Linked DNA regions of Macaca mulatta. The protein of the gene in region 3 interacts with the protein of the main gene of each other region in a pairwise test. Links are inferred from orthologs where the notes say so. Each region holds a gene or a part of one and is shown on either strand. Other genes may lie near its edges.

Region 1 (7,919 bases), on a different chromosome or scaffold from region 3:
ACAGGACCCTAAGCCCCACCAAACAGCACAGTGTCCCTCACACCAGGGGAGGAGCCTGGCTGGAGGAGGTGGAAGAAACAGTTCTCCAAGAGAAGCAGAAACGACAGGCCAGGAAGGGACAGAGAGATCAGAAGACACATCTGTGTCAATAAGAACAGGAGAAAAAACAAGTAAGCACAGGAGAAAGTGGTGTCAGGAGAAGATGGGTTGAAGCTGGACACAGGGAACAGTCCCAAACTCATTCCTGCCACCCACGGCTTCCTGCCACTGCTCTTCTGGAGAATGCCATAGGCAAAGCTGGAAAGCGACCAAAAAACAAAAAACAAGTTAAAGATACATATTCCCGCCGGGTAAGGTGGCTCACACCTGTAATCCCAGCACTTTGGGAGGCCGAGGCGGGTGGATCACCTGAAGTCAGAAGATTGAGACCAGCCTGGTCAACATGGTGAAACCCCGTCTCTACTAAAACTACAAAAATTAGCTGGGCGTGGTGGTGAGCACCTGTAATCCCAGCTCGGGAGGCTGAGGCAGGAGAATCGCTTGAACCCAGGAGGTGGAGGTTGCAGTGAGCTGAGATCGTGCCATTGCACTCCAGCCTGGGTGACAAGAGCAAAACTCTGCCTCAAAAAAAAAAAAAAATACGTATTCACCCAAGCTCACCTTGGAATTACCCTTAGATTTACTTCAGAGGATTAAAATATAGATAGATAATTATCCTGATTAACAACATTAACACTTAAAGTGTGTTAGATACTGTGCTTAACTCTTAAATCTCCCCTTAGTGCTCATTCCAGAAGAGCCTTGTCACTCTGTCAGCCAATCCTGAGAAGGAATTTTATCACTTCTTTTCCAGCCAGCTCTCGGGCATAGAGAGAATGAGGAAAGGATTCCACTATAGCCTCACACCCCCAAAACACATAAACACACACTAGGATGTCCTCATCTGTTGAGATGATGTTCTCTGGGAGCCTGCAGTATCCAGGGCCAGGGAAAGACCAACGGGTGTGGGCGTTTGGAAGAAAAGAAAGAAGTATGACTGTTGAAATGTGCATGGGGAGAAAAGAGATTGCCTACTGGAAGTCAAGGTGATTGGGTGTAGGGAAAAAGCTGTATGTGGCTTCTCAGCCCAACTGGGAGGAGGGGAGAGGGGTGGGAAGTGGCAGGAAATGGCGAAAGCCTCAGGAATGTTTCCAGCAGGGAAGGCTGGGCAAACGGGGCCAGGAGGAATGCCCAGACAAGAACTATGGTTAGGGGGAGGGGAAGAGACAGAGAAGCAGCAACTGAACTGTCCCTTAAAAAAAAAAGAAAAAAATCAAACAACAAAAAGGGCACTATTATCTACCCCCACTCCAAACCACCGTTTTTCTGGTAGAAAACTTGCTCCTGTCACACCCACATGCCACACACCAACAAATCCATGGTCCTATCCACTTATGGATAGGCAGGCCTAGAGCTACTTCTGGGATGGAGTTGGTCCTGGGAAGGGAAGGCCAGGAGATGAGGCTGGGAGTCTGACAGCAAGTCTCTCTCCCTCTGGTGCCAAACCCTAAGTTCAGCCCCTTCAAATAGTTCTACCCTTGAAGGAGGTTAAGAAAGAGGAAAATGGGGCCGGGCGCGGTGGCTCACGCCTGTAATCCCAGCACTTAAGGAGGCTGAGACGGGTGGATCATCTGAGGTCAGGAGTTCGAGGCTAGCCTAGTCAACATGGTGAAACCCCCCTCTCTACTAAAAATACAAAAATTAGCCGGGCGTGGTGGCGGGCGCCTATAATCCCAGCTACTCGGGAGGCTGAGGCAGGAGAATCACTTGAACCCAGGAGGCGGAGGTTGCGGTGAGTCGAGATCGCACCATTGCACTCTAGCCTGGGCAACAAGAGCGAAACTCTGTCTCAAAAAAAACAAAAAGAAAGAAAGAAAAGAAAGAAAGGAAAACGGCTGCCTTTAATCTCACTCTTCACAGTCAGAGATAGGAACTTTGACTTCCCACCTGGGGGAGCACGAGAGTGCTCGGAAAACTGATCCCAAAGCCCAAAAAAAGACAAAGGACAGGAAAATATAAGCAGGTGGAGTTTCAGGGATTGACGACAAGGCTTTACAGCTGATGACCCAGGTCCCACAAAGCTCGTAAGGGGGCGTGGTCCGCCAGGACGCGAACTTCAGACTTCTATGCGGGGAGGCTTTCTGGACAGTCAGACACGGATTACGAACAGGGCGTGGCTTCGGAGGGGCGGAGCCCCGAAGAGGCGTGGCTCCAACAAATTCGAATCGTTCTTTGAGGAGCAGGGTTTTGCCCTTTTGGGAGATAGGCTTTTTGACAGGAGTTAGCAGAGGATCGTTGCTAGGAGGCGGAGTTTCGGAGAATGGAAGGAGTAACCAAGGGTTTCACGTAGTAGGGCTTGGAACGTGTCTGGGGGTGGGACTTCCAGGAAAACTGGGCGACAGGGTGGGGTCGGAGACAAAAAATAAAAATCAAGTCGGGGTTCGGGGGAGCCCCCAGAGGTTGGGAGGTGGGACTTCCGGGGAGAGGGGTCTCAGGGGCGGGACTTATAAATGAAGACCGGAAGTGGGGTCCCGGGAGAGGGGTTCCGGAGTGGAAGAGTGAGTCACCTAAGGAGAAAAAAGTCAAGACTCACCAGGGCCTCATGGAGTCTCCGCACCGCACCGCGGGCCGATTTGGTTCCGGATCACGCCACTGCCAGCTTAGGTTACCGCTCCAACTTTCTCCCCGGGCCCTGCCTCCCTGGAGAAACTTTATTACACTCACTTCCGGCCTCACTAACCCCTGACCCTCTACCTCAGGGTCCCTCCTTCACGCTTCCCACTTTCCCGAGTTAGCCAATGGCAGCGCGAAATCGTGCACAGAGGCAGTGGTGGCCAATAAGACGCCTACTTTCGACCCACGCTCGTTCTTGAGAAACGTAAGAACTGCCCTCCAATAAGGACCCAAGAGAAGTAAATCTAAGCCAATCGGAGGCTTGGAAGTACAGCTGTCCCGCCTTGAGCCAAACGGACCAATAGGAAGTGCGGGCGGCGTGTTTGAAAGCGAGGCCAAAGTGGGTGGGAGCGCGTGCTGCTGGGAGTTGCTTGGAGGTTGGCGGCGCGGGGCTGAAGGCTAGCAAACCGAGCGATCATGTCGCACAAACAGATTTACTATTCGGACAAATACGACGACGAGGAGTTTGAGTATCGGTTAGTGCTGGCGCGGGGGCAACAGCGAGGTCGTGAGCTTTGACCGCTGAGGAAACAAGCAATTAGTAACAGGAACTGAGGCGATAGAATTGGCGCATGCGTACGAGATGTGAACGGGCAAGGGTGTGATATTGGTGGAAGGCGTAAGGCGCATGCGCGGAGGTGGGAGCCTCTCATAAAACAATAAAGTGGTTGCGAATTTGGAGTCTGCCCTCAGTTGAGAGGAGGGAGTGGTAGGCGTGGTTAGAGTACTGACCACCCACACCCATGAGGGTTTCTGGATCATTCTCTGAACTTTATTGGGCAAACTTAACTTGCCTTGTAGAAACTGTTAGTTTTACAGTAATCCTGTGGAATCCAGTGGGAGAACGTAGCAAAAGCGGAGCTTGGAGTTTCCTCGCGTCCCTAATGCGAGAGTAGCGCTGAGAGAGTTGAATATTGCTTATTAACTCGTGAAAAAGACAAGGGGCATGGTTGTCTGGCTTGTGTTAGGAAAGGGACCGCTTGGGACTGAAATGGAATAAAACTGGCTAGGAGCATTGAGAAAATACTTAATATGGGTCTAATAGATGCCCTTTATCAAAGGAAACGGTTACGGAATACTTAACAGGTTTCAGGTGTTCTGCAAGGATAACACATGGTCTCTGCTGTTCACAAACTTAAAACTGTGAGTGATACCGACGGACACCAGAAAGGTGATAACACCCTTTGCTAGGAGCCATTACAGGGTGTGATGGGAGCACACGAGACTTGATAAGGAGAGGGAACTGGCGACCCGAAGGCTGCGGCTTCCTAGCTGTGCGCGGGTGTTGGGGTGGGGCTAGAAAGTCAGTCCCCTACTTTTGCTAACTCCAGGACCCCCCCCCACCCCACCCTTCGAGAACCCCCGCCGCCACCGCCTTAGAGGCTGACTTCTTACTTTCGGTCGGTCTTCTTCCCTGGGCTTGGTGTGGGGGCGGGGGAGTGTCCTAAAGGCCAATTCAGTGTGATGACTCTTTCACCACCATTGAAAACGAAACCAGTAGTAAACTAAATACGCGTGTTTTCATTTATATGTCGGAGATGAGAACACTGGGACAGAAAGAGGGGAACAATAGACGTTGGGGCCTACTTGAGGGAGAAGGGTGGGAGGAGGGAGAGGTTCAGGAAAAAAAAAACTGTCGGGTACTATGGTTAGTACCTGGGTCATAAAAGAATCTGTACACCAAACCCCCGAGTCAGGAGTTTACCTATATAACAAACCTGCACACGTACCCTTGAACATGAAACTTAAAATACTGAGAGGAAAAAAAAAGGAAGAGGGAAAGTTGGGGAAAGCTTGCTAGAGGACAGAGCCTGAGATGAGACTCTAAGAAAAAGGTATGTGGGAGAAAGCACCTCTTGACTGAAATTGTTTAGAAGACACTGGATAGCCATCTGCCAAGGGTGGGGATGATGGAATCCTGGCACTGGATACAGCATTCGGGTTTGATAAATTTCAAGTGCATAATCTAGATTGGGAATAAGGGAAGACACAGGACTCCAAAATGTTGGCATTATGCTAATCTACATTGTGATAATTAAGACCACTTCCTGGTTTGTTATCTTGTCTCCTCAGATGGAGAACATAAAATGAAAACTTGCTTTTCTTGTCTCTTCACCCAGCCTAGTTCAGGGCTTTAGGTCTTCAGAGAACTCGATGTGCATTGACACATATATAATCATCTTTATACCAAGACGACTCCAGATCCTCTTTGATATAATTAACTGTCTTTTCCTCAGCTGTTTTCCTCTACATCTGAACTAAACTAACTTAAAACTGTATGTGCTTATAAGAGATTTGCAGAGCTGGGAAGGAATCACCATTTCATCCCCTAGAAGATGAAACTTTTAACTTGGCAATGGCATTTTGGTTTAAGAGGGGTTTTTTGGTCTATGTATTGAAGCCAAATTTTGTGCCAGGGTGGTGGTAGGATGTGAGCTGTTTTCATATATTTGGACTAGAATTTTTTCTTTTAGGAGAATGGGGGGGAAACCACTGTTACTAGCACAGAGAGAGAACTTAGTACATTTTCACTGAGCATGATGAAGACTATCTGGATTAGTTTGAGTCACATCAGGGTAATAATTTCTTTGCCATGAAGGGAGACTTATCCTTGGTTAGAAAAGCACGGAATTTCCCAAAAAAAGTCTCAAGGTACATCCCTCCAGAATTAGGAAGATAAGATTCAGGATAGATTTTTTTTTTTTTTTTTTTGGAAGAGACAAGGTCTTGCTTTATTGCCCAGACTGGAGTACAGTGGCTATTCACAGGCACAACCATTGTGCACTGCAGCCCTTTTTTTTTTTTTTTTTCTCTTTTTTTTGAGACGGAATCTCACTCTATTGCCCAGATCTCAGCTCACTACAACCTCCGCCTCCTGGACTCAAGGGATTCTCTCCTGCCTCAGCCTCCCAAATAGCTGGGATTACAGGTGCATGCCACCACACCCGGCTCTTTTTTTGTATTTTTAGTAGAGATGGGGTTTCACGTTGTTGGTCAGGCTGGTCTCAAACTCCTGACCTCAAGTGATCCACCCACCTCAGCCTCCCAAAATGCTGGGATTACAGGCATGAGCCACTGTCCCTGGCCTATTCTGTATTTTAATCAAAGATTTCAAACTTCATACTGTATCTTTGTCAAACTCCTGAGTTCAAATTACTCTCCTGCCTCAGCCTCCCGAGTAGCTGGGACTATAGGTATGTGCCACCATGCCTGGCTTAGATTTTAAAGGATATTTCATTTCATCCTTTGTGATGACTTGTCCACACAGTACTCCATAAAAGGCGTTTCCTCTCCACAGAATAACTTCTCTTCCTTCCTTCTAATTATTAACACTGTGTGCTCCGTGGGGCTCCCATTATATTGTAGGCAATCAACTAGAAGACTATAAGGTCCATGAAGGCAGAGAAAATGTGCCTGGAACTTAAGTGCTTATTCACTGGAATTATTCACTAATTTGTATTTTTCATATACTCTCAGAATTTATATAACATAGCCTGTATTTCTAGCTGCTGCTACCCCACAATAAAATTATATAAACTCTGACATCAGAAACTAGTTTTTCTTTCCTTTCTTGGCCTTGTAAACAGGCAGTTGTCTGAGACTATATCTGGTACTAACAAATTCCTCACTTCTCCGTTTCTGTTACAGACATGTCATGCTGCCCAAGGACATAGCCAAGCTGGTCCCTAAAACTCATTTGATGTCTGAATCTGAATGGAGGAATCTTGGCGTTCAGCAGAGTCAGGGATGGGTCCATTATATGATCCATGAACCAGGTCAGTGCACTGGCTAAAAACAACCATATAGAACTGCTACACTGAGAGAATGAAGGAATAAGATTGTATAACCCAAATAGGGAGATAGGAAATAGTTTATTGGTTTCTTCCCCCTCTAGTCATGGGGGATTAAAAAAAAAAAAAAAAACTAGTGACCAAAAATAAGATTAAAAAAGTGACAGGTTCAGAGACAACCTGTCACTAAAAAACCTCCTGTAATCTTCCATTCAATCAGAGGGTATTCTTTTTAAGGCCACATATAGCCTGGTCATAGTCCCTGCCTCATTCTCCATCAGAAAACATTCTTGGATGTATTCCAAATAAGCAAAGGAAAGTATATTTATTGATAAGGCACCAGACACCCAGCTGCCAGGCAAAACTTAATAAAGGACACCCTGGGGCTGTATAAACATAGCAAAAGAACTGATATTAACAATTCTGTACTTGGCAGACAGTCCAGATTCTGGGTCTGCTTCTCAAGGCCATATGCTTAAGTCTTTATTTAGTTATAAAGATCTGAGTGGGTGATAGCTGGGGAGATGGTAGTGGAATACACTATAGGTTGTACATAGAATGGTGTGCGCTTGTCTCTTAGATTTCCCTCACTCTTTCAGAACCTCACATCTTGCTGTTCCGGCGCCCACTACCCAAGAAGCCAAAGAAATGAAGCTGGCAAGCTACTTTTCAGCCTCAAGCTTTACACAGCTGTCCTTACTTCCTAACATCTTTCTGATAATATTATTATGTTGCCTTCTTGTTTCTCACTTTGATATTTAAAAGATGTTCAATACACTGTTTGAATGTGCTGGTAACTGCTTTGCTTCTTGAGTAGAGCCACCACCACCATAGTCTAGCCAGATGAGTGCTCTGTGGACCCACAGCCTCAGCTGAGTGTGACCCCAGAAGCCACGATGTGCTCTGTATCCAGAACACACTTGGCAGATGGAGGAAGCATCTGAGTTTGAGACCATGGCTGTTAACAGAGATCATGTAAACTTGCTGTTTTTGTTTTTTTCCTGCCGGGTGTTGTATGTATGGTGACTTGTGGATTTATGTTTCAGTGTACTGGAAACTTTCCATTTTATTCAAGAAATCTGTTCATGTTAAAAGCCTTGATTAAAGAGGAAGTTTTTATAATCTAATGCTGTAATTGTAAGGGTTTTTTCCCCTCACTCAGGGTGAGCATCATCAATATCATGGTTCTAATTACATGCCCTTCAGTTTGATAATGAAGCTCAGCTCTTTGCTGATAATGAGGTTTATTTTAACATTCAGATAACTCGTTTTTAATCTACTTTAAGCAGACTTGCTGTCAAACATCTACTGAAACATATTTCACTCTAACTACTGGCCCGAGGTAGAGGTTATATAGGGACAACTTCATCTCATCCAAACAAATGAACTGCTTCCTACAGTCGGGGTGCTGCCTTT
Region 2 (7,928 bases), on a different chromosome or scaffold from region 3:
GAGGCTGCCAAGGGCGCTCCGCCTTGAGCAGGTCCCAGAGAGGCTCAGCCTGCCCGTCCTGGGAGCCAGCGTCCTTGCCTCTGCCCTGACCTCAGCAGCTACACCTAACCCCACCGCACCCCACCCAGTGTCGATATCCACAACCCAGCCCCCAGGCCTGCACGCTGGAGATTTCTGGATCCTTCCCTAGGAGGGAGAGGTCTCCTAACTCGATTGGACAGGAGCCTTCATTCCTTGACTCGTGTCATTTGGGAGCTATTTATTTATTCTTAGTATTTAATTTTTAACATCCTCTCAGGGACCAGGGGCCTCCTGCTTTTCAGAGGCCCAAGTGCATTTATCCCAAAACGAGGCATCTTGACATCCCCCATCCCCCCCGAATTCCCGAGGCCCTAAGGTCCCTCACCTGGTTGCTCTGGAAGCTCTTGCCGGTAGGAATGATAGCAACACTGGAAGAGGGTGGGAAGGTGGAGGGTGTCACCAAAGCCACACAGAGCAAGGGAGATCAAAGGCAGTTCTTGCTGCCCCTTCTCTGGCTGTGCTTTGCCTAAGGGAATTGGCAACAGGCCAGGATTCTAATTTGGTTTATGGGGCCTGGATTGTGGTTTGAAGAAGCCATATTTGGCATGGGTGAAGTGAAAGGGCCAGGAGGTTCTGGAGGCCCCTTCACGTCCAGTCCCATAGCGGGGCTAGAGCGGGGCTCAGCTGTTTTTCTGATCTTACTCAACTGAGTTGTGCAAAAGAAATTCTAAGTGAATGCGCGTATGACAGGTCAATGTATTAGGAAGGAGCCAGAAAGTATTCATACTGCTACTCCTTACGAGATAGCCAAGAAGCGTCAGGTCAGTAACTGGGAGTGGAGAGGGAGTTTTGTTTTGAAACTGTGCACTGTCAGGTATTTTTCAGCATCCATTTATACATTAATGTGGTTCTACAGGACCCCGGCTGTGGAAGTAACAAATTTCTTCTCCCTGCAGACTCTTGGATGACTACCTACATCCCCAACTTCCCGGTTAGTTTCCTCCACAGGTTTCCATGAGCTCAGTATCCCAAGACAGCAAAAATCTGGTATACCCTGTAGAAGCAGGGGGGTAGCAAATTTAGGCTCTCTTCGAAATTACTTGTATAATACGAGTGCCTTCGCAGCTTAGCCCCAAAGTGCTACTTACGTTTCCCAAGGTTTTTTCTATTCAAACCATATTTGGTTTCAGTCCCCTTTATGGACATAGGGTAACAGAAACCTCCATCATTCAGGAGACCCTTTTGTTCAGTGGTAACATCTTGTACTTGGAAAAAAAATTTTTTTTTTTTTGCGACAGAGTCCCATTCTGTCGCCCAGGCTGGAGTGCAGTGGTGCGATCTCGGCTCACTGCAACCTCTGCCTCTCGGGTTAAAGGATTCTCCTGCTTCAGCCTCCTGAGTAGCTGGGATTACAGGCACACACCACCACACCCAGCTAATATTTTTGTATGTTTTTTTTTTAGTAGAGACGGGGTTTTGCCATGTTGGACAGGCTGGTCTTGAACTCCTGACCTTAGGTGATCCACTCGCCTCGGCCTCCCAAAGTGCTGGCATTACAGGCGTGAACCACCGCGCCCGGCCATAAATGTTTAAACAAGAAAGTGATTCTACTCTTCTAAGCGTACAGAGACCAGACCCGGTGAATGTAACTGGGGAAAATCAAGATGGTACCTCTCTGCATTAATCCTGCCAGACACCATATTTTAGGAAGGTCCATGCTCCAGGATGCATTCATGTCTTGGATACAGTGTGAAAATTAAAAAGTTTAGAGGGTAGATGTAATTGTGGCAAGTGACTTGCCAATAAAGTAGGTGCAGCTATAGAAGCTGGCATAGGTATATCCTTAATGGTGCTTTCTCCCTGGGCTTGTCTCTTGTTGTTTTTTTCCCTATATTCAGAGCTCTGAGAAGTGATAAACACCTCCAGCTTTCTTAACATCCTCCCCACACCATCTCACCATATCCATCTCCCAGCATCCATCTGCATTCAGCTAAGGGCGGGAAACTGACCTAGTGCCTGTGCTGCAGACCATTTCTGAGGTCTCCACCCATCCAAGGAGGCAGAGCCATCATTACTGTCCTCCATGCCTTCAGCAGCCCCCCTCACAGCTAAGGTACATACCACCCCTTCTGCCGCGCCCCCTTCCACTCCTGGCACCAAGGTCTTTTGCTGCTTATGTCTAAAGGGATCGCCTATATTTAACTGCCTCAGTGACCTAACCTCTTTCTTCTCATGTGCCAGATGTTAAGATGAAGGAGGAATACAACACATGCTCAAGCCTCAGCTGTTTAGTTGTTTTCACTGGGGCTCGCTTTTCTGGGACGGTATTTATTATCAGACTGGCAAGCCTAACTCCATAGGTTTACAGGAAGTAGGGATATTTTTATAAAACAATTGTGTCCTCCCCACATTTTGCTATGTTAATATTTGCCTCTAACAATTTGCAGCTGTTTCACTTTTTCCTCATTTGTCTCTAAGTTGAAGGCCTTGTTGGAGGGGACAGAGCACAGGAACAGCCTTGACAGTCTGTAATTATTGTACAAATATTTTAATAGCATATAAATAAGTATATTCCTTTTATTTTGAAACAAAAATGATCAGACACTGCCTTTTGTGTGTTTGCTGCCTGTGGCACCCTTTTTGAAAAAGACTGTTACATATTAAAATAGTGTACATACATATAAATATTACCTCTTTTGCTGTACAGTTGTGATAGAGACTGAAGATTTTATTTTTTGTGTGCTTTTTATAAGAAAAAATTAATACACTAAAGAATCTTGCTGATGTGATTGTAATGTACCTATGTAACTTATTTACTTTTGAATGTTCTTCTGTATCTTTAAACCTTTTATTAAATAAGGTTTTAAAAATTCAGAGTTGAATGCTATGTTCTCTCGGGATTTTCACCATCTGGGGTTGATGTAAGTGGGCCTTGTCTTGCTTGCAGGGAGATTACTCGACATTTTTGAGCCATAAGGATTCTCTTTTAGCAGCCTATTGTCGATGCCAGCCAGGAAAAGGAAAATAACACTAATGTTTGCCTGGCTAAAAGATGACTCAGTAGACACAGACAAACAGATGTTTACAAAAGTTTAGACAAGAAAAAGTCTAAACTCAGTATCTCACACAAAAAATGGCGCACTCCGGCTTCATTGGGATAAAATACGCAGGGTGCACAGTGTGGTCAGGGGTAACGGGAAGCCAGGGTTCTGAGGAGAGTATTTTCACGTGCAGGGTGGACTGGCTGGGCAACCCGAGTAGACAAGTCCACCATGAGGGATGCCATGACTTCCAATAGTATCATCTTAAATCCACTCCAGGATTGGGTTATTATTTTTAAAACACGGTGCTTAGCAGTATTTGTTTGCTGTTAAAATGGAAAATTATGAAAAAGGAAATGCGCCATCAGAGAAACAAATGCCCGAGCCCCTCGCTGGCACCATGGCAACCGCTCGACCCCCGCGGGCCGCCGGAGCAGGCGTGATTCGCGCCAGCTGGGGCGCCGTTGCCATGGCGACGCCCGAGCGGCTCCGCCACAGGGGCGGGACGGGGCGGGGCTGACGCCGCTCGCGGGCTGGCCCCATCCTCCACTGCAGCAGTAACGTCGCAGCGGGTTGCGGGTAGGACTCGACGCTGGGGCAGCCGCGCAGCGCCTGAGCCGCTGCAGGCCGCCGCGGCCGCCGCTGCCCACCCTTGCCTGTGCTGTTTCCAGCCTCGCTTCTCCGGCTTTCCTGCTCCTCTGCTGCCTTCGTTTCTGGTCCTCGGCCGTCCTCGCCGCCCGCCCAGAGGAGTCCCCGCGCCCGCCAAGAGGAGTCCCCACGCCCTCCAAGAAGCCGCTCTCCGCTGGCCCGCAGCCGCCGCGACTTCGGCACAGTCTCTCCCTCTGGCTAGTCTCCCAAACGGCCGCTCCTCGCCCGCGGGAAGACCAGGCTGCGACCGCGAACGCCCGATCCTCTCCAGGAGCCGCAGCGAGCGCCCGGCGGGCACGCCCCGCGACCACACCCCGGCTGCTTTCGACCCAGCGCGCCTGCCTTCGCCGCCCGCCCTCGCTCCTTGCCCGCTGCACGACGACGCGACAGCCCGGCTGCAAGCGGCAGACCCGACCGGACCCGGACCCAGACGCAAGATGGCGACGGCCGCGTGACTTCCTCAGCGTCCCCGAGCTCAGCTCCAAGTGTACCTACGGACTGACTGGGGGGGCAGAGAAGGGCGAGATCAGGACTCTGTGTCTTTGTTAGTCGTGAATGCATGAAGCCTACCTCCCTTGGGCCTACTTGGTGGGAGTGTCTGGTATTGTTCTAAGGCCAGGAGTACGGTGAGCCACAGTCTGTTGGTAGAATTGGCGTCTTGATAGTTGAGAAAATGGCGATGACACTGTTGGAAGACTGGTGCCGGGGGATGGATGTGAACTCCCAGAGAGCTCTGTTGGTCTGGGGCATCCCAGTGAACTGTGATGAGGCTGAAATCGAAGAGACCCTCCAGGCAGCGATGCCCCAGGTCCCCTACCGAATGCTTGGGAGAATGTTCTGGAGGGAAGAAAATGCGAAAGCAGCCTTATTAGAGCTCACTGGCGCTGTCGATTACGCCGCGATCCCCAGGGAGATGCCGGGCAAAGGAGGGGTCTGGAAAGTGTTGTTTAAGCCCCCAACTTCTGATGCTGAATTTTTAGAAAGATTGCACCTCTTCCTAGCTAGAGAGGGGTGGACCGTGCAAGATGTTGCCCGTGTCCTTGGGTTTCAGAACCCTACTCCGACCCCGGGCCCAGAGATGCCAGCAGAGATGCTAAACTATATTTTGGATAATGTTATTCAGCCTCTTGTTGAGTCCATATGGTACAAGAGGCTGACACTTTTCTCGGGGAGGGACATCCCAGGGCCTGGAGAGGAAACCTTTGATCCCTGGCTGGAGCACACTAATGAGGTCCTAGAGGAGTGGCAGGTGTCCGATGTAGAAAAGAGGCGGCGGTTGATGGAGAGCCTTAGAGGCCCTGCCGCTGATGTCATTCGCATCCTCAAGTCCAACAACCCCGCGATAACCACTGCCGAATGCCTGAAGGCGCTTGAGCAGGTGTTTGGGAGCGTTGAGAGCTCTAGGGATGCCCAGATCAAATTTCTGAACACTTATCAGAACCCGGGAGAAAAATTGTCTGCTTATGTCATTCGTCTGGAGCCTCTGCTACAGAAGGTGGTAGAGAAGGGGGCCATTGATAAAGATAACGTGAACCAGGCCCGCCTAGAGCAGGTCATTGCTGGGGCCAACCACAGCGGGGCCATCCGAAGGCAGCTGTGGCTTACCGGGGCTGGGGAAGGGCCGGCCCCAAACCTCTTTCAGTTGCTGGTGCAGATCCGTGAGGAGGAAGCCAAGGAGGAGGAGGAGGAGGCTGAGGCCACCCTTCTGCAGTTAGGCCTGGAAGGGCACTTCTGAGTGCCAGAAAAGACAGCTTTAGTGCAGACCTAGATCACAGCTAGTTTTCTTGTCCCTGTGGGGGTCTTACAGATGTGTCTCTGAGTAGTAAAGGCTTAGCCCTGTTCCGTTTTGTTGTTTTTTTGGAGGGGAAGGTTAGTCAGGCCTGAGTATTCATGTAACATTCTAAAATTGTGCAAGCGAGCACCGTGAGCTGCTACAATGCAAGTGGGTCTTGCTGGCTAAAGTGCCAGGTAAAGGGTTGGTTGGACACAGCGCTTAGTGCACGCTGTCATCATGGACATCATAATCAGTTGTGAAAAACACACGAACCTCTGACACTTCCTATTCCACACTGAATGTGAAATTGCATGTGCAGATGTTTACTACGGGGCCTGGCTCACAGGAAGTGTTCAGTAAAAGTATGAACTATTAGATTACTGATAGCGCAGATAGATTTTTCTTTACCATAAATAGTTCCAGATTTATATTGATGGAAGGAAATGTGCATTTATTAGCTATTACTCAACTTTACAATGCAAACATCATATTTCTCATCTTTAAACATGTCGATCAGTTTAATTGAAAAGTATTCTGAGACTGCAAAATGGGGTGTTAAAAAAATACTGCAATTACGGAGCTGTGTAAACCAGTTTCTCATTGCATAAGATACAGATGTAAATTGCATGGAGAGGTTGATATGCACCTGTACAGTAATTCACTTCCCCATTTCAGATCTTTGTCAGAGAATAGTTCTTGTTCATACTGAGTGTTCTAAATTTGAAGTTATATATACAAATTAAAATATTTTAAAAATTCTGTTGTCTTCTCATTTTTCTGGCATGTATAAACATTTTTAGCCTAAGTAAACTCTGTCCTTTTTTCTTATGAAGACTTTGTCATTAAACCATTTATTTTACTCTTAAGCTTTGTATGATACTATGTGAATTTAAATGGCAAGTCCTTTTTTTTCCTTCCCCTCTTGCTGTCATCTTAACATTTTTTTGGTTTATTTTTTAATTTTTTAAATTTTTTATTTTTATTAAGGGCAGAGAGGGTCTTGCTCTGTTGCCCAGGCTGGAGTGCAATGGAGCGATCTCAGCTCACTGCAACGTCTGCCTCCCCCGGATTCAAGTGATTCTCCTGCCTCAGCCTCCTGAGTAGCTGGGATTACAGGCATGTGCCACCACACCTAGCTAATTTTGTATTTTTTTAGTAGAGATGGGTTTCACCACGTTGGTCAGGTTGGTCTGGAACGCCTGACCTCAAGTGATCCACCTGCCTCGGCTTCCCAAAGTGCTGGGATTACAGGCATGAGCCATCTAGTTTTTTCTACTAAAAATACAAAAATTAGCCGGGTGTGGTGGTGGGTGCCTTTAATTCCGGCTACTTGGGAAGCTGAGGCAGGAGAATCACTCTGGGAGGCAGAGGTTGCAGTGAGCCGAGATTGCGCCACTGCACTGCAGCCTGGGCAACAGAGTGAGACTCTTGTCTCAAAAAAAAAAAAAAATCTAGGCCGGGCGCGGTGGCTCACGCCTGTAATCCCAGCACTTTGGGAGGCCGAGGCGGGCGGATCACAAGGTCAGGAGATCGAGACCACGGTGAAACCCCGTCTCTACTAAAAATACAAAAAATTAGCCGGGCGCGGTTGTGGGCGCCTGTAGTCCCAACTACTCGGGAGGCTGAGGCAGGAGAATGGCGTGAACCCGGGAGGCGGAGCTTGCAGTGAGCCGAGATCGCGCCACTGCACTCCAGCCTGGGCGACAGAGCGAGACTCCGTCTCAAAAAAAAAAAAAAAAAAATTTAGAGACCAGATATGGTGGCTCACACTTGTAATCCCAGCACTTAGGGAGGATTGCCTGAAGCCAAGATTTTGAGACCAGCCTGGGCAACACAGACCCAATCTCCACATACATTTTTAAAAATTAGCCAGGCATGGTGGCACAGGCCTGTGGTCCCAGCAGCTCAGGCAGCTGAGGTGGGAGATTGCTTGAGCTCAGGAGGTTGAGGCTGCAGTGCGCCATGATCGCCCCACCGCACTCCAACCTGGTGATAAAGTGAGACCCTGTTTCTCAAAAAATTTTTTTTAGAAAATCTTGAAATGGGGTTCAGGAGGTTATCTGGCAATGTTTTTCTCTTAAGATCACTTTTCAGCTAAACATTTTATTTCACTGAAGAAATAACTATAATTCATCACACCTGTGTAAAATGACGGCTTATTTTACAGCAGCCATTTATAACAGGAAGATATAAAAAGGGAAATACAGCTATAAAACATGTTTTTTTTTGCGGCAAAGATTCAGTGATTGAAGATATCCATCTTTTGAGGTCCTCAGTGAATCTAAAGTTACTACATGAATATTGTGTTCAGTGAGCTTTTCCCTAATAAGGTTTTAAAATTATAGCTGAGCCATTCGACAAGTTTATAAGGGGTAATGTATGTTCTTCCAGATTTTTCGGTGCACATATTCGCTTCACGTCTGTACATCCCTTTCCTCCTGTCA
Region 3 (7,865 bases):
TGGGATGGAAGGGAAATCTCATAGGTTCCTAACAAAAAGGATGTCCTGGGAGGGAGTGAACCAATTCATACTTGATTAACAAAAGGACAAAGGACAGAAAGAAAAGGTTGTCAGAAGCCGTGGGTTCCTGGTCTGGTGTCTGCTGCCAGCCTGCGGTGTGGCCCGAGGCAGTTTCCAATGGTTGTGGTTTTTGCAGTGGCAGAGGTGTTGCGTTTTTGCAGCCATCGGCACATGGTGGTTCTTAGTAAAATACAGCCCACAACTTCTCCGGCCCACGACGCAGGGTTGTCGTGAGCCTTGCTCATTCCAGCTTGGCACCTGCTGTGTGGGGTACGGGCAGCCTCACTGAGCTACCAGGGAGCCCCAGGAGCCACCGGCAGTTCAGCCAGGATGGCTGTGAGTAGCCAAGGGCGACGGAGGAGCTGCCCATGGCCAGGGGCCAGAGGAGGCCACCCAGAGGAAGGCACTTGTCACAGAGACCTGAGGGGTCACCAGGACCCTTGCAGGTGAGGGGAGCATGTGGCCTAATTAGGGCAGTTAGAACTCTGCAGATGCTCGGGAAGGTCAGATGTTCCCAAATATTCTCAGGGGAACTACTACCAAGGGACCCCATGTGTTGCTTTGGGACCACAGCCATGGGATCCTTTAGCTCTCCAGTGAGACTGAGCTGCTTCTCAATTGTGTCTCAGCATGGGGCAGATTTTGGAGACAGGATTTCCCCAAGCGCCATAGCCCAACCCCGGCCTCCTGTGACTTGACCTCAAGGTGGTTTTGCGTTTCCTTCAAAGATGTGGGGAGATAGCTGGAGCAGAGGAAAGAAAAGGGGCAGGTGTGGAACAGATGCAGTGGGTTGTGGGGGAGTGGGGAGGAGGGTCTCTGTGTGTGTGTGTGTGTGTGTGTGTAGCCTGTGTGCAGCCAGGGACACACCCCTTCCCCCTGGCCAATTCTTTTTTTTTTTTTTTAATGATAGAGACGGGATCTCACTATGTTGGCCAGACAGGTCTCGAACTCCTGATATCAGGTGATCGCCTGCCTGGGCCTCCCAAAGTGCTGGGATCACAGGAGTGAGATCACAGTCACCGGCGCCCTCTGACGACTCTCATTGGGGATGGGGAGACTGCTCCTGTTCCTCCTGCTTGCATCTGAGGTGTTCTCTCCCCACCCCTTCTTCCTTCCCTCTCTCCTTGCAGCAGCTCCTGTCAAAGGGAACAGGAAGCAGTCCGCAGAGGGTGACATCCTAGATCCACCTGCATCCCCCAAACCTGTTGGCGAGCAGAACGGGAGCCAGAACCCCATCCCACTGGAGGTGAGTCGAGTCCCTCTGCTGACTCCCTGGGCGTTCTTCCCTGCCACCCTCACCCGTGTTCAGCCTCCAGGTGAACCTGGACACTCCCCAAGCTCTCAGGAGGCAGATATGTTCCTACCCTGGCCCTGTCCAGCAGCCAGGGGACTGACTTGTCTTCTGTGCCAGAGAGTTATTGAAACCAAGATTGACTTGGTTTTTGTAGCAGACCCCTTTTTTCAAGTGAAGATGACCCACCACCCTGATCCATAAAACAGACAAAAGCTCCAGCCCGTGATGCAAAACCACATTCACATCCATTCATCCAGATGCATAACATGGGCATATAAAGTCACTCGGTGAGACCAACAGGGCTGTTGCGATGAGCAGAGTCTGAAGGGGGCGCTGCAGGCAGCTTTTTCGGAGCACAGTTGGCCCCGGCTTTCATTCATTTTGGCCATTTGCTTTGGTGGCACAGTCTGGAAAAGTATCCAGATTCATGCAGAAAAGTGTTTGCAAATGGTAGTTGTCTTTAGTAGCTTGCTGGAAATTCAGAGTAGAGGCCTGGAGGAGCAGATTGACTTGAGCAGCTATGAGAGAGCCTTCCTTCTGAGGTCTGCACAGACCAGCCCCAGGGCCCCGGCATGTTACGATTTCATGGGTGATATATGAGTTCGTATGTTGTTTCTTCTCAGAGGTCTTTAATACCTTAAAAACACTGAACTATTACAGAAGCTATTTACAACAAACAAAAAAAGTAACACTGAAATAAACTTGAATCAATTTTTTTTTTTTTTTAGGCAGAGTCTCACTGTTACCCAGGCTGGAGGGCAGTAGCACAATCTTGGCTCACTGCAACCTCCACCTCCTGGGTTCAAACGATTCTTCTGCCTCAGCCTCCCGAGTAGCTGGGATTACAGGCATGCACTACCAGGCGTGGCTAATTTTTGTATTTTTAGTAGAGATGGGATTTCCCCATGCTGGCCAGGCTGGTCTCGAACTCCTGACCTCGGGTGATCTGCCCACCTCGGCTTCCCAAAGTGCTAGGATTACAGGCGTGAGCCACCATGCCCAGCTGGATCAAATATTTTGGGAACACATGGCTGTCTGCACTATCCTAGTCTAGATGGTTTATGTCCTGGAAGCTGTCTGTTCTCTGACAGGGTGTAGGCCCTGGGCTGTCTGCCCTGAGCCACTTGCTGGATGAAGGCATCAGCGGAGATTGTCCCTCTGGGACCCGCAACCCAAAGTCCTGTGCCCCTGGCAGCAGTGTGCAGTTGAAGCCCAGAGCTTCACCTCCCTGTGCTCAGTACGGCAGGCCGGGGCCACACAGAGGCTCGGGGAACGTGGGCCTGACAGAGCAACCCACGGCACCGGAAAGCACCAGGCACCTTTGTTCCTTCAGCTTTTCCCTCGGCATTGGGGGTAGGGGGGAGGGCGGCGGGGAGTCCCAGGGACACTGAGCCTGCCCTCCAGGAGCTCCTAGTCTGGCAGAGGAGCTGACACAAATATGACAAATCAAGAACAAGACAGAGAAGTGATCCTGGCCTGGAGAAGGCTGGGGACTGCTCTTGTGGACACCTCTGGAGGCAGCTGCTCTGGGGTGCCCAGCCTCTGGGGGGGGGCCCTGAGCTCTAGCCCCTGCCCTAGGGCACTGAGGGCTGATACCTGTGCCAGCCGAACCCAGGAACAGTCACTCCCTCCCAGAACAGTGGCCAGGTGCTCTCTGGGAAACTGGGGTTGGGGGCAAGGTACCTTATGCCTCCTGCAGCCAGTGGTTTCTGCACGTCCCCAGCAGCCAGCCACCAACTGGGGCCCATCCCAATGCCTCCTGTTCTCTCCCCAGGACTCCCCCGAGGCAGGCGGGGAGCGGGAGGAGGAGCAGGAGCGGGAGGAGGAGCAGGCCTTCCTGGTCAGCCTCTACAAGTTCATGAAGGAGCGACACACGCCCATCGAGAGGGTGCCCCATCTCGGCTTCAAGCAGAGTGCGTCCCTGGGGTGCAGGCAGGGAGGGGGGCCCAGCAGGGAACCCCACCCAGGCAGGGCATCGGGCAGGCACTCCCACTCTGGGTGACCCAGGTTGCAGATAGAAAGGAGGCCTCCCTCCAGGCTGCCACCGGGCCAGCAGTGCACAGGCCACAGCCTGCCCATCTACTGCAGTGGCCCTGCCTGGGTGTGTGCTGCTCTGTGCCCGCGTGTCAGGGCACTAGGAAGGGGTGGCTGCCCCACCTCCCACGGAGGCTGACGGCCAGCCTGCCCCTCTCTCCCCAGTTAACCTGTGGAAGATCTACAAGGCAGTGGAGAAGCTGGGGGCCTATGAGCTGGTAAGGAAGGCACCCCCAGTCCTTGCCAGACTGCATCTCCCTGGGGTGAGCCTGCAACGCTGTCCTTGCCTCTGGACAGGAGAAGAGCCAGGATCCCCAGTCCTGCCTTCCTCCCCGCCTCCCCCGCTGGTTCTCTGCTGCTCAAAGCAGCTTTTCAGCCTTCCCCATCTGTTCTGCCCGCCCCGTGTTGGAAAAACTGCTTGGGCCAGCAGTCCGTGGCCCTGGGAGGGAGAATCAGCCGCTGTCGGAGCCGCAGAGCAGCTGCCAAACCGCAGTGCTTTGGTCCCTGCGAGGGCGGCCAGAGCCGCAAGGACCCCGCTGCCAGGGGGCGCTCGCGGCCGCGCCCTCACCAGGTGCCCTTGCAGGTGACCGGGCGCCGCCTCTGGAAGAACGTGTACGACGAGCTGGGGGGCAGCCCGGGCAGCACCAGCGCGGCCACGTGCACGCGCCGCCACTACGAGAGGTAGGGGGGCGGGCCCGGGTGCTGGACGCCGCCTGCCCTGCGGGGCTCGGTCGACCTTGCCGGGAGGGCTGGGTGGACTCTGTCCGGAGCGGGCGGGGTGGGCCCCGTCCTCAGCGCTGCGGGGGCCCAGGCTGGCTGGGCGCAGCCACCGAGGGAGCTGAGCTTTGGGGCGAGGAGGAGAGGGTCTTCTTCGGCGCCGGCGGGAAAGAGGGGCTCAGAGGAGGCCACAGAGGCCGGTGGAGGGGATGGGCGCCGACCTCCTGGGGGACATGCCCGGTTCCTCCCCAGGCTGGTCCTGCCATATGTGCGGCACCTGAAGGGGGAGGATGACAAGCCGCTGCCCACCTCCAAGCCCAGGAAACAGTACAAGATGGCCAAGGAGAACAGGGGGGATGATGGGGCCACCGAGCGGCCGAAGAAGGCCAAGGAGGAGCGGCGCATGGACCAGGTACGCCTGTGGCTGGGTGGGGCCACCCTGTTCCCTGCCTCTTGCAGCCCCCCCACCCCACAACTCCCTGTGGCCACGGAGCTGTCTGCTCAGAACACACCGAACATGCACCCAGGGCGGGACTTGCAAGGTTCCAGGTTCTCCACAGTGCGCAAGTTCTCTACTTGTGCAAGCAGACTGAACTCCAGCCTGCACCCCACCACCAGGCCCTGTGTCCCAACCTGAGGCTGTGTCCGCTCAGAGGACAGGGCTCCTTTGGAAAATTCTGCACAAAGGACTGCAAGAGCTAGCGGGGAACCTGGGCAGGCCTGAAAGTGCCGCCTCCTGCTCCTGAGGTCAGGATGCATGGCTCGGGCAGCCCTGAGGCATGGCTTTCTCTCATTCCAGATGATGCCAGGAAAGACCAAAGCAGATGTTGCTGACCCAGCACCGCTTCTTAGCCAGGAGCCCCCCAGAAACAGTACAGAACAGCAGGGCCCGGCCTCTGGGTCTTCTGTGTCCTTTGTGGGTACCAGCGGCTGCCCTGAGGCCTACAAGCGGCTCCTATCCAGCTTCTACTGCAAGGGGACACACGGCATCATGTCACCACTGGCCAAAAAGAAGCTCCTGGCCCAGGTGAGCAAGGTGGAGGCCTTGCAGTGCCAGGAGGAGGGCTGTCGCCATGGGGCGGAGCCCCAGGCATCCCCAGCTGTTCACCTCCCAGGGAGTCCCCAGAGCCCCAAAGGGCTGACTGAGAATTCCAGGCACCGGCTGACCTCTCAGGAGGGATTGCAGTCCCCGGGTGGCAGCCTCAGGGAGGAGGTGCAGGCGGGCCCCTGCCCGGCAGCCCCCATCTTCACGGGCTGCTTCCACACCCACCCCACCGAGGTGCTGAAGCCTGTCAGCCAGCACCCCAGGGACTTCTTCTCCAGACTTAAAGATGGGGTGCTATTGGGGCCTCCTGGCAAAGAGGGGCTGTCAGTGAAAGAGCCCCAGCTGGTGTGGGGCGGGGACGCCAACCGCCCTTCTGCATTCCACAAAGGCGGCTCCAGAAAGGGCGTTCTCTACCCCAAGCCCAAAGCCTGCTGGGTGTCCCCCATGGCCAAGGTCCCACCCGAGAGCCCCACGCTCCCACCCACCTTTCCTGGTAGCACAGGCCTGGGCAGCAAGCGCAGCCTGGAGGAAGAGGGTGCTGCCCACAGTGGGAAGAGACTGCGGGCCGTGTCTCCCTTTCTTAAGGAGGCAGATGCCAAGAAATGTGGGGCCAAACCTGCGGGGTCCGGCCTGGTCTCCTGCCTTCTGGGCCCAGCCCTGGGGCCTGTGCCCCCAGAGGCCTACAGGGGCACCATGCTGCACTGCCCGCTGAACTTCACTGGCACCCCAGGCCCCTTGAAGGGCCAGGCTGCACTCCCCTTCAGCCCCCTGGTCATCCCAGCCTTCCCAGCCCACTTCCTGGCCACTGCGGGCCCCTCACCCATGGCCGCTGGCTTGATGCACTTCCCGCCCACATCCTTCGACAGTGCTCTCCGCCACAGACTTTGCCCGGCCTCATCTGCCTGGCATGCACCATCAGTCACAACCTATGCAGCGCCCCACTTCTTCCACCTCAACACCAAGCTGTAGGCCAGCCCATGTGGAGTCGACCGGGGCCGACAGCGGGCAGGTGCTGCTGCTAGAGGGCTCTGGACTAGTGCCTGTTACCCAGGACACCCAGGCCATGCCCCTGGCTGGGCAGCCTGGCACAAGTGAAGGAGGTGGTGGGAAAACTGGGTGTATCTCAAGGCAGCAGGCTGAGCCCAGAGCAGAGGACACAGTTGTTACAAGGCCCTGGGAGAGGGTGGGCAGCTCCCACTGCCCCAGAGCAGCGCTCAGAGCACCCAGGTTGCCCACGGAAAATCCAATAAACAGAAACGAATGGGAATCCACATGGCCCTGAGGTGCACATGGTATGGGCCTTTGTAACGGCAGGCAAGGTGGGGGTGAGCTCGTGGGTGGGGCTGCCATTAGGGGGCCAAGGAGGTGGACCTGAACGCCACCACCCCGAGAGCAGGCCTAAAGCAAACCCCAGCCTCTGCCCCTGTGTAGGCAGCCTCTGACATCCATCCTTGCCTTCGGTCTGGCTTCCTAGTTGAGCCTCGGGAACATGTCGCCTTTCTCATTGTGGAGATGGGGATTGGAGACCCTGGGAGGGTCAGTGACTTGCCCAGGTTCCCCTGGCAGGAGGGGCAGAGGAGGACTGCACAGGCCGTGTGACTCCTGTGCTCTGAGGACCCCAGGCTGTTACCAGTGCCCCCTGGGGTTTGGGGGTGTGACCAGGACGCCTGAGTTGGTCTGCCTTGGTGGTGGATGTAGATTATCTGGGGCCTGTAGCCGAGCCCTCTCTGCAGCACCATCCCACTTGCCTGACCCACATGGACGGTCCAGAATTGGACTGGATTGAAATCACAGGAGGTGCCTGGAGGGAAAGGGGAGCAGATGCCCCGTCTCGGCCTGGGTGTCTGCGTCGGTAACAAGCCCCTGCGGTTTCAGATGTGGTTGCCCCAGGGCTCATCTAGAACCCCCGTGGCCTGATGCCCTGCTTGCTGCAGGCCTGATGGGAGCAGGGCCTTGGCTCAGGAGGAGGGAGGGCAGGTTCTTTTCAGAGGCACCATCCCCTCTCTCCACAAGCAGCCTGCACCCAAGCAATTTCATATGTAGTCCTGGAAAAGTGGGGCTACTGCTGGCCAAGCAGAGGGTAGATGTCGGGGCATCAGGTGTGAGCAGGTCAGCGGGCGACACACACCACTGGAACTTGCCGTGCCCGCTGGGCCTGGGATGCTCATGATCTCCGGCCGTGGGAGGGGCCCCCATAGTTTGCAGGTAGGGAGGCTGAGGCCAGGGATGGGAAGGGTCTTGCTTGCCCAAGGCCACCATTCACAATGACAGAACCCAGGCCAGGGAACGTGCAGCATGCTTGGCACCAGGGAGTGGGTGGCCAGGCCAAAAGTGCACCCTATCCAGCCCCTGCCCCTGGCCACCTCCTTCAGGAGCAGCCTGTGACCGGTGGAGGGGCAGAGGGTGGTGGTCCCTGCTGTTGAGAGCACTCAGGCTCTGCAGGGGCATCTCCCAAACTTCCACCTCCTTCCTTCTGAGAGGTGCCAAGATGCCAGCCTAAGCACCTGCAGTGACCTGCCCTGAGCTCCCACTGCCACATGCAGTCCTTCTCTCCGAGCTGCAGAGGCTCAGTGGATGATAAAGGATGGGAAGGGGCCGGGTGCGGTGGCTCAAGCCTGTAATCCCAGCACTTTGGGAGGCCAAGGCGGGCAGATCACCTGAGGTCAGGAGTTCGTGAACAGCCTGGCCAACATGGTGAAACTCTGTCTCTACAAA
Region 4 (7,905 bases), on a different chromosome or scaffold from region 3:
TTTGGTTTTATATACATATATATAATTAGAATTGTTATAACTTTTTTTGAACTCTTTTGTTAAAGCCACAGCACTGAACATATTGGTAAGCATTTAATAGATGTTAAGTAAATGCAAAAGTGTTTCTCAACAAAGATATATTTTGAAACCTTAACAAACATCACATTGGGGTATTAGTTCTGATTTAAAGAATATTTATAGTCAATTGAATATCTTAAGCTTTTCAGATGATTGAAAAAGAATTTACGTTTAATATATGTGCTAGTCATGAACACATTTAATATTTAAACATTTTAATGTTTAATGCAAAATTTAAAAGATGATTCAATTAACAGTATTTTAATATTGAACATTGTATTGATTGGATCATTTTGATCATTTAATAAAATAACCCATGGCAAAATTTCACCAAAACATTTTGGAACAGTCTTTCCTTTTGTTGATATTGTAAAGTCTAACAGAAATGCTGATTTTCAATATAGGATTCAAATGAAAGAAAACTTTTATGGCTTAGAGAGGTACATTTAAAAATATTTATTCAATTAAACCATCATATACAGTATTAGCTTAATGACAGCTTTTATAAATTTTATTTTTTATAACAATTACCTGAAAGCCTTTCAGGTCACTTAAAATGTGAGTACCATCTTGGGATTTTCATCTAACTATAAATTCTGGAGGATCAGTTTATTCTGCATTATGGTGTCACAAGTGAAATAGATAGAAGTGGCTTCAAGTAACAGAGGGGCTACTAACAGTTGAATGACTTTAAATTCTGTTTGCCCAAGTTGAACAGTGGGAAAATTAGGGAAATACATACCTACCCCTTTCTATACTGTGTAAGATCCATGAGCTAATTTATGTGAACAAAATTCCTTATGATCTTAGAGTTCCATTAGTTCAAATTATCATTATTAGGATGATCATTATTATATTTGGCAAATTTTCTGTCTAGTTCCTAGTCTATTTCAACTCCTTCGGCATAGATGATTGCGCAAGAAATAATTTGTTTTTGAATGGCTACAGTAATGTTTGCAGAATATATTAAAGTCAAAAAACTCACTTTCAAACCATTTAAAATTCTCTTATATGTTCTTTGTGTTTATTTGGCATATGTACATATGTATACATATATTAAGTGCCAATAAAATCGAAATCAAATATAAGGAAGGTTCTAATATGAGTATCTTTTCTTTATACTATAGTTGGCCTCAAACACTCCTCCTCTCTTTCTTACCTGTTCTGTTGACCTTCTAGATGAGAGTTTCAGAGAAACAACCAGAGGTAGTAGCTGTAGCAAGATAGCAGCTGGGACCATACGGATCTCAGCATCCTGCCTTATGGCCATTATCTTTGTTTCTATCTTTATGCTGCCACTATGTTTCCTTCTTGTGCTCTCTCTGCGTCCTCTCCTCCCGCCTCCTCCTCTTCCTGACTCCAGCTCCCATGGCTCCCTGTAACTCACCCATCCTCCTTCTTCACTTTTTTTCCTCTATTGATATCAGATAAGCAAGATTTTTCCTAATAAAGACAAAAATTTTTAAATATTTTTAAAAGTGTATATAGCTATGCAGCTACTATACCCTAATTCTCATAACCGCCATTAACAAATGAAGAAAAATATAATGTATACATTATCATTTGTATACATTATCAATTAGAGCGTATTAGATCGTAGGTCCCTTACGGGCTGGAAAAAATAGATATTTAAAATAAAGGCAACAATTTTCTCATTTTTCTATGTAGGAGTAGGTTGTTGCTGGAACAAAACATAATTTGAGATTAACAACAAGAAAGACTAGTGAGTAATACTCTTCCCCCCTTCCCCAACTGCTGAAAGTGAAAATCATGTCAGCATCAAGTCATTTTTGCCACATCCCTTGTTAACAGCTTTTTCAGGGTGGGTCATAGTTCTGTGTTTTTGTTAGTGTCTTAACTCCATAGTGACATGCTTAAATCTTATTCCACATTGATTTTGTAGTGTGTGTGTGTATATTTTTAGAATATCTCCTGATGATAGAATTAAATATTAAGTTATTATCAACTTGTCCAAAAATGTATAAGCTTTGAATGAAGAATAAATTTACTAATATGAGTTAATAATTGATTTTTTTTTTGTCTTCAGAATATGTGTATGATGTATCATTGTGAATGTCTAAAAAAGTAAACTTACTGTCTGCCTGTCTCCAGAAAAAAAAAGTGGGACCTAATCAAACTGCCGTGGGGTCAACCCTTGTGGTTTTAAAGGCTCTTAATGTTGTCCAGCTGCAAAATAAAAGGAATTGGGAGGGGAAGTTGGAAGGAGTGGAGGGGGCTGGGGGGGAGGAATGTGTGGAAAAGAACAGGGAGTCTGGCTTTTATTTTTTTTTTAAGTGAGTTCAGTGCCAGCCTGGACATTGGCTGTACAGACTATTGAGCCATTGTCTGCTCCATTTCCAGAATAGCCCCCAGTTAATCACTTCGGCTTTGAAGGGAATTTCCTCGTGGAATTCTCCACAGAAAATCTAATCAACTGACCTGCCCTCTCAACAATGGAAGGCTTTTTTTTCCTCTCTTTCCCTTATTGGGGCGGGCTCTGTAATGTAGCCTTTTGTGCAGAATGAACCCTCCCAGTAGGAGTGGAGAGCGTGTGTGAGTGACTGAGTGTGTGTGTGTGTGTATGTGTGTGTGCATGCGTGTGTGAAGAATGCACACTATCTCGTGTTGGTGAGTGTGTGCTTACTCCCTGACCAGATGCTGCGGTGCACGGGGCAGCCACCATCTCTGCATGCATGTCTGTGTAAGTGTCTCTCTCTGTGTGTGTATGTGCCTCTGTCATTTCATGTCAAAGGTACATTACCTGATTACCTTTCTCGCCTGCCAGATTTTTATCTAGATAATTGGAACTGCTATGGAGGCTGTGCCTTGCCAGCCAGCTTAGAATCTGTAAAGCCATAGTTTGTCCACCTTGTTATCTGTGGCTGCCTGGGCAGAGGAAATTAAAGAGATCCACAGCCAGGGGAGCGCTTCCTACTCCTGACCTCCCCAGCGATCCCAAACAGGACAGTTTGTTAGTAGCGTCTTTTTGTTGTTATGTTTTGATTTCGTTTTGGGTTTTTGTGCGCTCGTGGGTGTTATTTTGGCATGCGGATACCTATTCCCCTCCACATCGCACATCGTGTTTTATGGAGTTTAGAGCTGAGGAAACTTTGGTTGGGTTGCCAGGACGTTCGCACCACTTTGCGGAAAGCACGATCTAACAGGGAGACGGACAGAGTGAGTGACAAGTTGTTTACAGGTTTCCTTGAAGGGGCCTCTGCTATATTTCAATCTGTCAAAGTTGCTTTTCTTCCCTCAGAACAATGCCCGATTGTTGTGTGTGTGAGTGTGTGTGTGTGTGTGTGTGTGTATGTGTGCGTGTATTTCCGTGTGTGAACGGAGAGAGCCTAGAAAAGGGTGAGAAGGAGTAACAATTCTTTGTGTAAAAATGCTATTGCTAACATTTAAATTTTTTGCTTCATTAGTTAATAAATGCAGTTTAATCGAGCTTCTGTTATTATCTAGACTTGGTTTTTAATCAGCAAATATGTTTTACAAAATCATACTGTTATGCGTGTGTGTGTGTGAGTTTTATGATTCAGAAGACAGAGTATGGGAGACGTGTTAAATGAGTTGACTTCTCACATTCAGTGATGTCTAGAAGAGAGAATTAAAAGGAAAGGACAGGCACCCTGAGGTTGTCTAGAGCCTTGCAGCCGGAGCGTGTGGCTCCGCGGAGGGGGGAGCAGCCAGACCCGGCTGCTGGAAGTGCACTGCCCCTTTAAGAGACTGGTCAAGGAGTCCTAGGAGAGGGAGAGGAGGGAAAGGAGGGGGGGAGAAAGAGGGAGAGAGAGAGACAGAGAGAGAGAGGGAGAGAGAGAGAGAGGGAGGGAGGGGGGGAAGAGAGAGAGAGAAAATCAATTGGTTTAGAAGGTTTGGACTCACTTGACAGGTTCAGTTGGAGACGATCATAGGTGGCTGCTGTGACAAAGGGAAATTGTGCTTTTCCAGCATGCTTACTGACCCTGATTTACCTCAGGAGTTTGAAAGGTGAGTACAGTTTTTTCCCCCTAATATATTGAAGTACAACTCTCCCATTTTACAGTAGTCTCTGAATCATTGGAAGATGCTCCCCCAAAACGTGTTTGTTAGAGAAGCTTTTAGCTTGGGCTTCTGCAGTCTTGTTAGCTGATTTTTTTTTGTTGTGGTTGCCCGGACCAAATTGAACTGATTTGCAAAGTCTCCGGGATTTCTGCTAATGTTTTCAGGTTGCGTCCTGTAACAGCAAATTAAATGAACCTTAAGCATCTCTCTCTCTCCCCAACTCGTTGCTTCTCTCTTTCTCATTCACTCTCTTATTTTCTTCCTTCATTGATTGTTTTCTCCCCACCTTTTAAAAATGCTTTTGTGCAGAATGTTACCATTTTCAGCATCTCGGTCTCATGTAATTTCTAGGGTGACAGAAGGTTTTAGTGGTGCTTTAAACGGAGGCTATAAGTTCCTATTTGATCCTTCCGTAAAACTTTGGAAGCTGCTCAGTAAAGCACATGACCTTTTGTTGATATAAGAGAGCGTTTTTTTTTTTTTTCCTCCAAAGAAAATTTAACATCACCGCTATATTAGATTACTCCATAAGTGTCAAAAATAGGGGGGGAAAGGGGATAAATGGGGCTGTTCCCTTTCTAAGTTTTAGTGACCACTTTTTGTGTTAGCTGTCTTCACTGAATTTTAATTTACTGTATTTTCCCCTTTTGCTATGATGGGAATAGTGTATTTGTAATTAAGTTGTTCCTATTTAGAGAAGTATCTGCAACATCCTTTTATTTGATGTTGTTGCAAGTAAAGCAGGGCTTTGAAAGAATTTTAGCCCTCTTAATGTTCCTATAAGTACACATTGCAATTTTTAAATTTGAGTTCTTATCCCAGCATAAGTTCATTTTTTTGAACTATAAATAGAATTTTGTTTGCCATTAAAAAGAATTCAAACTTTGTATTCTGTATGGTGAATTAAAAAAAAAAAAGCTAAAAAAAGCCAGGATGCATGATACCCAGGCTTTTTTTCATTTTCATGAAAGCTACCTTCTGTATAAACATTTGTTGTATCTGACTATGCAATGCAAGCTAGGTGCTAGACCAGCTGGTTAAAAATATGCTAAGTCAAGCTGTTCATCGCTCAAACGACTGAATTTGATATGAAAAGACGAAAAAAGAAAGGACAAAGATTAAAACATTCTAGAAGTGAAGCAATGGAAGAGAAAAAGAGTATTGAGGATAAAGTAACGCTTGAATGTGGTCACATATTAGAGAAGCCAGTATCAAATCAGGGAAGAAAGTAAAATAGCCAACATATATACTTCAGTGCTGTCATCTTTCTTTGATTTCTTCTGTGTGTTTTTTTGTATAATTAAAGTGCATCTTTACTAGATAATTCCAGCGAATGTTTGAGCTTTCTTTACAGTTTTGAATTAAAATTTTCAGTTCTATATATTAACTCTTTAATTAGTGAGCTTTTATTTGCAAATATAGCCTTATTTCATAGGTAGATGTTGAAGTTATTCATAGTGAAACATACTATACATTACCTAATGTAGCGATTTGCTAATTTAACACAGTTAAGTTTTCTAGAATGCACAGAGTAGCACTTAAATGATAATATTCTTTAATTCTAATTATACTTTTTGCAAATACAACTCTGAGACTGATTTGTAAGCCTGTTAACAGATTGTACTTATAAAAAGGTAGTTACATATTAACAGGCTGCAGCCTATTTCTCTATATAGGCAAGCTTCCTGCTGTGAACTTTATTTGTATTTTTTTTTTCAATTATCTCTTTTTAAACTAAACTTTTCCCTTTCCTATTCTGATGCTCAAATCTGTTAACATCTTTTTTCCTCCTGGTGGGAATTTCATTTTTTTTTTTCACCCAGAGGCATGCTTTTCTAACTAGCTAATTAAATAAGCAAGTGATAATCAATAGGGTTGTTAGTATGACTATCAAATTTAGAAATATTAGTATCTAAAATAATTCTGAAAAATGCCGTACACTATAACGTTCCTTAATAATTTCCCCTGTGGCTGTAATTGGTAATACATACAAAGATGTCAGCAAATCATTACTATTTGTTTACATTGAATTTGTACGGGTGAGTGTCTCTATAGGCAACCATGCATGATACAGTATATCATGTAGACACAATATTGAATATTTGTATTCTCCAAAGGAGGTATTTATGATGTAATGAAACTATCAAATATAATTAGATTTTTTTTTTTTTGCCTTTTCAACTGTTTGCAACTTTCACTGAATAAATAGGTCATTTCTATTGACTGTTAATTTTTATTCTGTTGGATCACTTGCTATAGATGATTTTCCGCTTAAACTTAGAAATCTAAAAGAAGACTGCTAAATTTCTTTGTGAAAAAGAGAACTTTGATCTAGAGAACATAATAAATTGCTTGGGGTTCATGTACTGTAAAAGTTTTATGTGATCATTTTTAACTAATTTCATTGGTAGAGTCTTGTCCATCTTTTATTCTTCCCAGCCTGTAGACTATTTGAACTTTAAGGAATATTCAAAACTTAAATATCAGGATCAAAATTTGGGTTCAGATTTGTATGTGTCTATATTATCATCACTAGAAATGAACATGGTCAGTACTCTCAGACTAACAAGCAGTTATTAAATAGTTAAGAAGTAGTAACAATTTCATTGTTTGTTAAAAATATGCAGGAGGTAGTGCAAATAGAACAGTGATTCTAAAAGGTAAAGAACTTGAAATATTTTTATTTTCAAGCATCCTTGTGATAGACTGATTATGATTACTGAAAAACACAATTCCCAGGTGGGAAGCAAATGGGCGTATATGTTCTAAAGATTATTCGTAAGGAAACTCTTTTACATTTTACCGTTTAGAGAAAACATAGCTGGCAACATGGTCTAAATGTGAGTAATAGCATCATTAGAACGAATGCCCGAAGTTTCCCCAAATATTTAAAAGAAGTCAATAAATGTATATATTTAACTGAAAGTAGATAATGAAAAATTGTGACTTAAGGTTTTCCTTTGAGAATGTCACCTATTTTTTGATATTCCAAGGAAGAAATGAAAATATTTGCCTTAAATGTCAATATTAGTTTGTTCATGATAAGTAAAACAGCCATTTTTGGTAGTTTCTCAATATTCTATTTCTTTCCTTTTTATTTTATCTGTCCTCTTTGGTTGTAATATAATAGTTTTGTGTCTAAGCTACTCGTTACAGTTTCTAATTGCTTTATGTTAGAAACTTAAATAGCAAGTGTAAGATGATTGCTTAAGAAGACAGTTCTGATAATGTCTAGAAAGAAGAAAAAAGTTGGGATTGAAAGTCGTGGGATTATGCAAATTAGGTTGTTAGTATCACCTATTTGATTGCTTCTCCCAAATTGGTGCAGACAACAGACAGCAGATTTTCTAGATGTTGAAAGGAACACTACAATAGTAAAACCTTCTGCAATAAAAATTAACTTATTTGCTTCATATTTCCATCAAATTTATTTCTGGTCATGCTGACTAAATAATTTTTCTTATTAGGAAACTTTTCAGTATTTTTCTGAAGAAAGAAATATACATCAGATCCTTTTACAAACTAATTCATAAAATTCCATGAAAAGCTACTGCTGGACATTTGCAAAAAACTACTCTTTGACATTAGTGGTATTTTAGTTACCTAAAGTTTGACCATAGTAATGAAATATTTATTACACAGATATATTTTGCTTAATTAAAGACTTTAACAACAACAACAAAAAAATCCATTGTGCTCACGAGTGATAAGTGCATTCAGGTTAGCAGGCACACTCTAGGTGTGAATCACAGAAAAGTTATCTGTTCACATTCTGTCACCTAA

What was found.
Region 1: the proteins of ARID5A (region 3) and CKS1B interact in binary tests that used the Homo sapiens proteins (3 or more experiments, as listed by UniProt). The two-hybrid records come from large-scale screens. The link is inferred for Macaca mulatta from reciprocal best matches to the Homo sapiens genes ARID5A and CKS1B.
Region 2: the proteins of ARID5A (region 3) and PNMA1 interact in binary tests that used the Homo sapiens proteins (3 or more experiments, as listed by UniProt). The two-hybrid records come from large-scale screens. The link is inferred for Macaca mulatta from reciprocal best matches to the Homo sapiens genes ARID5A and PNMA1.
Region 4: the proteins of ARID5A (region 3) and SOX5 interact in a two-hybrid assay, tested with the Homo sapiens proteins (2 studies listed by BioGRID and IntAct). The two-hybrid records come from large-scale screens. The link is inferred for Macaca mulatta from reciprocal best matches to the Homo sapiens genes ARID5A and SOX5.

What each region holds. Positions count from the first base shown.
Region 1 is NC_133406.1:112,024,209-112,032,127, reverse strand, and holds CKS1B (cyclin-dependent kinases regulatory subunit 1), read left to right. Parts: upstream 1-3,054; 5' UTR 3,055-3,129; coding exon 3,130-3,188; intron 3,189-6,360; coding exon 6,361-6,488; intron 6,489-7,102; coding exon 7,103-7,155; 3' UTR 7,156-7,616; downstream 7,617-7,919.
Region 2 is NC_133412.1:146,882,095-146,890,022, reverse strand, and holds PNMA1 (paraneoplastic antigen Ma1), read left to right. Parts: upstream 1-3,580; 5' UTR 3,581-4,383; coding exon 4,384-5,445; 3' UTR 5,446-6,251; downstream 6,252-7,928.
Region 3 is NC_133418.1:5,207,874-5,215,738, forward strand, and holds ARID5A (AT-rich interactive domain-containing protein 5A), read left to right. Parts: upstream 1-2,792; coding exon 2,793-3,267; exon of another isoform or gene 3,268-3,553; coding exon 3,554-3,606; exon of another isoform or gene 3,607-3,971; coding exon 3,972-4,069; exon of another isoform or gene 4,070-4,357; coding exon 4,358-4,517; exon of another isoform or gene 4,518-4,904; coding exon 4,905-6,119; 3' UTR 6,120-6,421; downstream 6,422-7,865. UniProt on the Homo sapiens protein: DNA-binding protein that may regulate transcription and act as a repressor by binding to AT-rich stretches in the promoter region of target genes.
Region 4 is NC_133416.1:26,281,601-26,289,505, reverse strand, and holds the start of SOX5 (transcription factor SOX-5), read left to right. Parts: upstream 1-3,957; 5' UTR 3,958-4,030; coding exon 4,031-4,068; intron 4,069-7,905.